Arabidopsis thaliana: one gene and its partner. The protein of the gene in region 1 interacts with the protein of each later gene in a pairwise test. Each region holds a gene or a part of one and is shown in the gene's direction. Other genes may lie near its edges.

Region 1 (4,330 bases):
ATTTGAATCCTTCGACTATAATAGAGATTTTCTTAATTTCACTTTCACGTTCAAAGATTTTTTCGCATTGTCTTTTGGAAAAATAGCAGAGTTTTTTAAAAAATAAATAAGAAACGATACATTCAAAAAATATTATGTGAAGTTGAGTTTTTTTTTACATATAGAGGAAATAAAATTGATCATAGTCATAGACATAGAAATTTGTCAGTGGAATCTTTTCTATTAGGTCAAACAAGATTCAACTTTTAACATTTTATCTAGGACTTCTGAATTCTGATATACAATGATCGATGATATTATAAATAAGATAAAAAGGCTTTATTTGTATTATTTCCTTGTAAAGTAAAGTATTTCTTAATTTCATGTTTGTTGGGTCATGCAAAATATGTTTCCAAGGCAAGGTAGCGGATTTTTTGTGAAGAATATTAGCTGGGTCCCACGTGACACAAAAGCTATGCGGAAAAGGGTGTTTCCGTAAACTCACTTGAAAATTTCTGCTAACCAGTTTTGTCCGGTTAAGTTCATGTTATGTATGTTACAATTTGGGAATTGGGATTCAGTTAAACCGGATCAGCCGAAGACATTATTATATTCGTTTTGTAACTTTTTGTTTAGAGGGTGTCGAGTTAGGTTATCGAGCTGAGCTGTATATAAAAACATCTCAAACAAAGGTGAGGAGGGGATGCATTTGCAAAATGGAATTAAGGGGTGTTTCGTAATCGTGACAGTTACGTTTTTGGTTTCTCTCCTATGAGGCTTATTTTGGGCCTCAACAAGAAGTAGGCGTTTTAACACGTTTCGTCATCTAGAGCCAGATGAGAGGGCCTAAACCCTACCTGTGGCTGGTTATTTATTGCTTTAACTTACCCGACAGATGCGACTCAATTTGAAATATCTCTTTTGGGCCTACTGATCTTATTGACGAGAGGATTCATCACCCTTTTCTTCGGCCACTTGGAAAGATTATATAGATTGTATGTTTTCTCTTTTCATTTTCTATCCTCGTGAAGTTTTTATTTTTATTTTTTTATTCAGATTACGAAAATCTTGAGAAAAAGAATAAGACCCGGTGAGCGAAAGGAATGTGTGGCGATGGCGATGCCTACACAGCCGTGAAGCCGAGTCATCGATTATAAAATGAGATGTGTCGATGATAACATTGCTAGTATAATTCTTGGTGTGGTCCATTATTTGATAAATTTATGGTATGCGTCCCTCATGGGAAGTGTGATAAGATTAAACCTAGTGTTCGATATAAAATTTCAAATTTTGTGTCTTAGCCATTCTATTGAATTTTAAACTACGGTCAGATTGAAGCTTACATATATTTGATGTAAAACATAAAAATATGTGGCTGTTACTCGTACACATTTATGGTTATATAAATGAATAGTCTCAATCACAGCCGTGCTCTGTAGTTGTCAGGTATTCGTGTGGTTTGAAGTATAACATTGTCAACTATTTGTATAAAGTTTCTCTATACTATTAGTTCCATGATCTAGTTATATATACAAGTCATATCAGTTTACACTAAACCACTCGACACTCATTGATAATCGCATACCGTTACTACAAAACTAAATTCACCTTCATTGCTTATTAAAATCAAATCATCACAATAGCTGATAGATCGTGGCCTTAGCATTTCCTCGGTAAGACTTATGAAAAAATTAAGATAACTATTCTTTGAAAAAGGTAAAGGAAAAGAAGTTGGGAAAACTTTGGCCTTTGTGTACCAAAAGTAGAAAAATAATTTCCAGCTTGTCATTTTCCTACGGTCCCAATTAATTATATCTCTCTCTATAAATATAGTAACACACTTAGCCATCGTACACTTACTAGTTACTTCCAACATTTGGCTTCCTTTGCTTTCACGAATAGAAACCTTAGCTTCTTCCATTTCTTCTTTCTCTCCTCGTTTAAATTAGTTTTTGACAAGGAAGAAAAAGATGGGGAGAAGACCATGCTGTGAGAAGATAGGATTGAAGAAAGGGCCATGGAGTGCTGAAGAAGATCGAATCTTGATCAATTATATTAGTCTCCATGGCCATCCCAATTGGAGAGCTCTCCCTAAACTAGCCGGTAAATAAGCCATTTTATATTTGCTATTTGCCATATGTATATATTAGTAACAAAATAATTTTGTACCTAGCTAGCATGTGTATTATTGTTCTATAGTATATAGTAGTGTATATTTGTTGTGTAAAGTTAATAATGGTGTTTGTGAAATGATTAGGGCTACTTCGGTGCGGAAAAAGTTGCAGGCTTCGTTGGATTAATTATTTGAGACCAGACATCAAACGTGGCAATTTCACTCCTCATGAAGAAGATACTATCATCAGCTTACATCAACTCTTAGGCAACAGGTTTCTCCTCCTTTTCCATTTTCTGTTTTTTTACTTCTTCCTTTGATTATATGCGAAATTTTAGATTTTTTGGTCCTATATTCTTTGAAACCAGAAATTAAACAAGAATTTGAGAAATCACTCACAAATTTTTCTTTATTTTTAATCTTTGAGAAGTCAAATCACAAGTTTTTTTCTTTCTTTTAAAGTAAGTCAATGCAATTTCTGTTTAGTCCATAACTCCATATATATTACAGTGAAAATGATATAATGTTCATTTGTAGATGAAGGATTTTGGGACATCAAATTGTGAAAAGTATCATTATTTTGGAAGTTTAGTTTGTTTTAACTGTGGAGACTAGCTAGCTAGATTACTTCACAATTTTCTCTTTGTATATGTGTTGCTTTTGTCAATATGCGAAATTTTATATCTTTGTGGGGCAGAGAACTGAGAAGATTCCAACCCGTGATTGCCTTTGTCCATTAAATAATTTCAATTTTTTACTTTCCTCTAATTATACTTTTTATTCACTAGTAGACAAAGATAGGCACTGTGATCAGTGTAAGACATGTGCAAATTCTTTTAACCATACGCATGAACTTCAATAACTTTCCTTTTGTTTTACTCGCTCTTTGTTCTCATAACAATGTAGACGACGTATTATGATGATTGATGAGTCATTCATGTGACATTTGTTTTGAGTAGATGGTCTGCGATAGCTGCAAAATTGCCTGGACGAACAGACAACGAAATTAAAAATGTTTGGCACACTCATTTAAAGAAAAGACTCCACCACAGTCAAGATCAAAACAACAAGGAAGATTTCGTCTCTACTACAGCTGCGGAGATGCCAACCTCTCCGCAACAACAATCTAGTAGTAGTGCCGACATTTCAGCAATTACAACATTGGGAAACAACAATGACATCTCCAATAGCAACAAAGACTCCGCGACGTCATCCGAAGATGTTCTTGCAATTATAGATGAGAGCTTTTGGTCAGAAGTGGTATTGATGGACTGTGACATTTCAGGAAATGAGAAGAATGAGAAAAAGATAGAGAATTGGGAGGGCTCACTAGATAGAAACGATAAGGGATATAACCATGACATGGAGTTTTGGTTTGACCATCTCACTAGTAGTAGTTGTATAATTGGAGAAATGTCCGACATTTCTGAGTTTTGATTTGTTTTAGTTAAAGACTTATATATCTTCCTTTGTGACCCACATGAATAAAAGTCGTTTACGTTTCCTATATTAGTCCTCTTTCTATTTATCGTTCTATTACTTTTGGTTAGTTAAAATACAGATCAGGACATATGCTAAATGTTCGTATCATGTTATACATACATATATTATGATTTCTTTTTTCTCTCCCTTTTAATGTAATTTTAAATCTATGGTGATGTCTTGTACTGTAACTTGTTTAGTGGATGGCTAGATTAAAGAAAGTCTATGTTGTTGTTCTAATGGTAGTCGCATATTCCCTTTTTTTCTATGCACAATGAATTTACTATATAAATCACATTTAAAACTCTTATAATTCACTAACAGAACAGTAATGGCTAACCGACAAAAAATATAGTATTTAAGTAGCCATGTGATTATGCTATGGTTTTTCGCACAAAAAAAAGTGATTATGCTATGGTTTTCCGGTCCTAATAGATTTGGAGTTCTCAAACTAATGTATTAATGTGATCCTCAATTGCTCCATGCATGGAAGCAATTGTGGTTTCTAAGCCCAAAATTTAAAAAGAAGAGAAGATGTGAATGCTCGTCAGAAATTGGTTTTGTTTGGCCGTAGCAATTTCTTGTAGTGCGCGATCTTGATTTTACAGATACTGGTTCTTAGCTAATAAATTTAAACCGATATATCTTAAAAAAAAAAAAACCATTACCTAAGAAGCACCATTGGTATTATCGATGATCCAGCGATGAATCCAATATAAGTTATAATAAATTCATCACCATCAACTAAACTAAACT
Region 2 (4,044 bases), on another chromosome or scaffold:
CTATAGGTAGATGGTCAAGAGTTCAAGCTAGTGGAGATTACAATGACAGGCTTGGGATTACCATTCTTGGTAACTTCATTGTTTTCTTTTTGTTCAACAAATTTTTCGTTATATTTTTTCTGATTAATTTGTTTCTGCAGGTGAGGCTGTAACTGTGGAAGATGAAGTAGCAGTCATAGGAAGCATTGTTCTCCAGAATAAGACTCTTAATGTTAGTGTTCAAGATGATATCATCTTGTGATTTATCACAATGATTATCGTTTGGATTTTTTTTCTTTTTAATTGAAACAGAGAAACTTTTACAGAATTGTGTATTACATGAATTGAGTTCACAGGATTAGATTTTGAGTAAGTGAAACTATGGAAGATTTGTAAACTCTCACTGTACTTTGTGTTTAGATACTAAAAAGATTTTAGAAGAAAGAGTTTTAAAAGATCTAAGATAACAAGGAATCAAAGAAGTTTTGCTTCTTGATTGTGTAATCACTAGTGTTCAATACCTCCTTAGGCTCCTTTCTTTTGTGCAAATTGCTCACTAGAAAAATTGTTTATCTTGACTTCGTTTGTGGGGGTAGGCCCGGACATAATACCGGAACCCGAAGAACCGAACTGAACTTGACTCGAAATAACCAAACCCGTTCTACTTCGGTTCCGGCTAATTACTTGATCGGGTTCTGTTTTCAAATAACCGTGGGTACCGGAAATTACCCGAACTGAACCCGATACCCGTGGGTACTTTTTATTACCCGAACATATATATACATAGGGCTGCGCATATGGGTAACCCGTTCGGATTCGGGTAAAACCCGTTCGGGTTCGGGTTAAATGGGTAATGGATTTACTACCCAATAGGGTAAAATGAAAATTTTCGATTTCGGTCTAGTTCGGGTACATTCGGGTTCGGGTCGGCTTGGGTAAAGAATTTCAGGCCCTAAGAATAGCCAAACAAATGAAAACGGGTATTTTATGTGTAGATAGCGGGTACCCAACAAAAAAAAAACCTTAAATATTAACAAATTTTAATAATTTAATTAGATTTAGATATATTATACTAAATTTTGACAAACATAACAAATAATTTTTAAATAGTTGGGTATTTAGATCTAAAAGTAATTGATATATTTAGATTTATAATTATAATTTTAGATTATTACATTATATTAAGATTAAATATAATTAATATTTTTGATATTAAATCTATGTTCGGGTATCCTGTTTGGGTAACGGATAAACCCCGGACCGACCTGATACCCACGGGTTTACTAAAACTTTACCCAATGAAGTAATTTCTTAAAACCCTAACCCACCCCAACCCGATTTTTCGGTTCGGGTATCAGGTTCGATATCGGGTCCCGTTTTTTGCCCAGCCCTATATATACATATGAGGATATATATACACTAATAATGTGACTTGTTTAATGATTTGAGTTATGGAACAAGCTTAAAACAAGGTTTACTTCTTGTTTTATATTATTGGCTTAAGGAAAAACTTGTTATAATTTCAGATCTTTCGGGTTTTATGGATATTTTTATGTATGTTTGGGTATATTTGGACAAAGTTTGGGTAAGTAGTACTCAAACCCGAAATAGTTTTGGTTACTTATGGTTTTTTTAACTAATACCTGAATTATCGGACCCGAAGTGAAGCCGAACCGAACCCGACCCGAAATTGTTGATATAACCATACGGATCCAAAATTTCTAAACCCAAAAATTCGAACCCGAAAAATCCGACCCGACCCTGACCCGAATACCACATGCCCAGGGCTATGTTAGGGGAAAAAAAAAAAATACATGTGGGCTTAAATGGGGTTTGAAATTAAAACCGGTCTGAATAGACGGTTCATTAAGAAAACCGGCAATTAAAAACCGAACTTCATAGAGAGTCTTCTTTACGCATTCTCCGTCATTCGGTTAAGTTGCATCGATCGTTAGGGTTTTATCGAGAGAGCAAGGAGAGCGATTTCTCAAATCGACTTTAATGGCTGACGACGATTACAATGAAGTCGATGACTTGGGGTAATCTCTCCCTCTCTGTTTCCTATGTTAGTATCATTTGTACTCGATTTCAGTTGATTCTATCTTCTTCTTCCCGACGAATCGTAAACGATTGAGAACAATTGGATCAATTATTGTCTAGTTTGAGAGTCTATCAACGAGATTCTTTTTTGAAAATTTGCTTATTGTTCTGGCATCGTAGCATTGATTATAATTTCATATTGTTTAGATAGAAAACCCTAATTTCGTTTGAATCTTATACATCGGATTTCAAATTGTTGATGTTATGTGGTGATTTTCAATTGCAGATATGAAGATGAGCCAGCAGAGCCTGAGATCGAAGTAAGTTATTATTTGTAGAAGAGAGATTGACATTGCTTATTATTATTACTAGGCTGATTAGAATGTGTTGGTGTGAGTAGGAAGGAGTAGAGGAAGATGCTGATATCAAGGAGAACGATGATGTTAATGTTGACCCTTTGGAAACAGAAGATAAGGTTGAAACAGAACCTGTGCAACGCCCACGTAAAACCTCTAAGTTTATGACTAAGTATGAACGTGCACGTATCCTCGGCACTCGTGCTTTGCAGATTAGGTCAGCTACTGAGAACAATCTTTGTTGATTAACCGTTTAGTTGGCTCGGAAAGTTTGATTCTATGTACTGTTGTTGGCTGATACAGCATGAATGCTCCTGTTATGGTTGAGTTGGAGGGTGAGACTGATCCACTTGAGGTGTTGCCTTCTTCCTTCTTGTTGTGTTTTTCATGATTTGTCAGTAAATGTTGATATGTATATGAACATTTGTGTTGTTTATTGTATGATTTGGCTTAAGATTGCGATGAAAGAGCTTAGGCAAAGGAAGATTCCATTTACCATTAGACGTTATCTACCTGATATGAGGTGAGATTGCATTAGTTATATCAATACTTTTAGCTCTTCTTTCAAATTTGATATCTTCTTTTCTTGCGACTTACTTATGACTCTGAATCAGTTACGAGGAATGGGGAGTTGATGAACTGATCGTCGAAGACTCGTGGAAACGTCAAGTCGGTGGTGATTGATAAAATCTGGCCTATGTGTTTTGCAAAGCTTTCTGCTCTTGTATGGATTATGAACTTACGATATAGTCGCATGTAGAACTTCTTCATTTGTCCTATTCTCCAACACTACAAGAGTCAGGGACTCCAACAAAAATGCATGAACAACAAATTTTTTGTCCCAAGTTGTTTTTGGACATGGGTTTCGACAAGCCTGCATGTACATATACAAAGAAAGAAAATCCTTCGTGAAACCAAAAGAAGAAAACATCTATAATAGTTTGAGTATTGAGTAAGTACAACTCAATTGATAAACCTTTTCTCTCACACTTCCCAGCTTTTGTCGTCTCACAGAGTCAGATCGATTGATGCATAAATGAGTGATGCTAAAAATCAAAAAGCAAGATTAGAGAAGAATTATGCATGTTGTTTAAAGAAGTTGAGAAATAGTAATGTTAAAAACTATGTGAAGCGCTTGCTCGAGGATTGTTTCAGCAACACTATACAAGTGACTGGACTCAACTACTCACCATAGTCTCGGCCCAACGCAAGGATAGTGTAGCATGTTTCTTGATGAAATACATCTTTCAAACCACCGTTTACACCATCTGGCATGAGAGGAATCGAAGACGTCATGATGAATCTCCAAAATCTGCAGCCACTCTAATACAATGGATCGACAAGCAAATGCGTTTCCAACGCTGGCTTCAAAGTTGAAGTTAATCACTAAATTGTTCATTCTAATTTCTGATTTCAATCTATTTCATATAGAACATATGATACACTAATTGTAACGACGTTATCTTTTTTGAATCTAATTTACCATTTTCCAAAAAAAAAAAAAAAAAAAATGCAGGGATTAGAGAAGAATAATGCATTAAACTCAAAGCAAATAACTGTTAAATAGACCTTGGGATACACAACGTACAAAATAATGCATCTACATATACATTTTTGCAGCCATTTTAACAAATAAATTCTGGACTTTGAACTTATTTACGACTCAATG

The links.
Region 2: the proteins of MYB13 (region 1) and NRPB6B interact in binary tests that used the Arabidopsis thaliana proteins (3 or more experiments, as listed by UniProt).

Annotation. Positions count from the first base shown.
Region 1 is NC_003070.9:1,887,561-1,891,890, forward strand, and holds MYB13 (myb domain protein 13), read left to right. Parts: upstream 1-1,801; 5' UTR 1,802-1,949; coding exon 1,950-2,082; intron 2,083-2,236; coding exon 2,237-2,366; intron 2,367-3,051; coding exon 3,052-3,529; 3' UTR 3,530-3,716; downstream 3,717-4,330. UniProt on the Arabidopsis thaliana protein: Plays a regulatory role in meristem function. Functions as component of a regulatory network controlling the establishment and/or development of the shoot system by the regulation of apical meristem function. May play a role in tolerance to boric acid.
Region 2 is NC_003071.7:1,618,183-1,622,226, reverse strand, and holds NRPB6B (RNA polymerase Rpb6), read left to right. Parts: upstream 1-1,847; 5' UTR 1,848-1,980; coding exon 1,981-2,018; intron 2,019-2,305; coding exon 2,306-2,339; intron 2,340-2,419; coding exon 2,420-2,592; intron 2,593-2,678; coding exon 2,679-2,730; intron 2,731-2,830; coding exon 2,831-2,898; intron 2,899-2,989; coding exon 2,990-3,059; 3' UTR 3,060-3,436; downstream 3,437-4,044. Other genes in the region: AT2G04650 (ADP-glucose pyrophosphorylase family protein), read left to right, coding at 1-69, 141-241. UniProt on the Arabidopsis thaliana protein: DNA-dependent RNA polymerase catalyzes the transcription of DNA into RNA using the four ribonucleoside triphosphates as substrates. Component of RNA polymerase II which synthesizes mRNA precursors and many functional non-coding RNAs.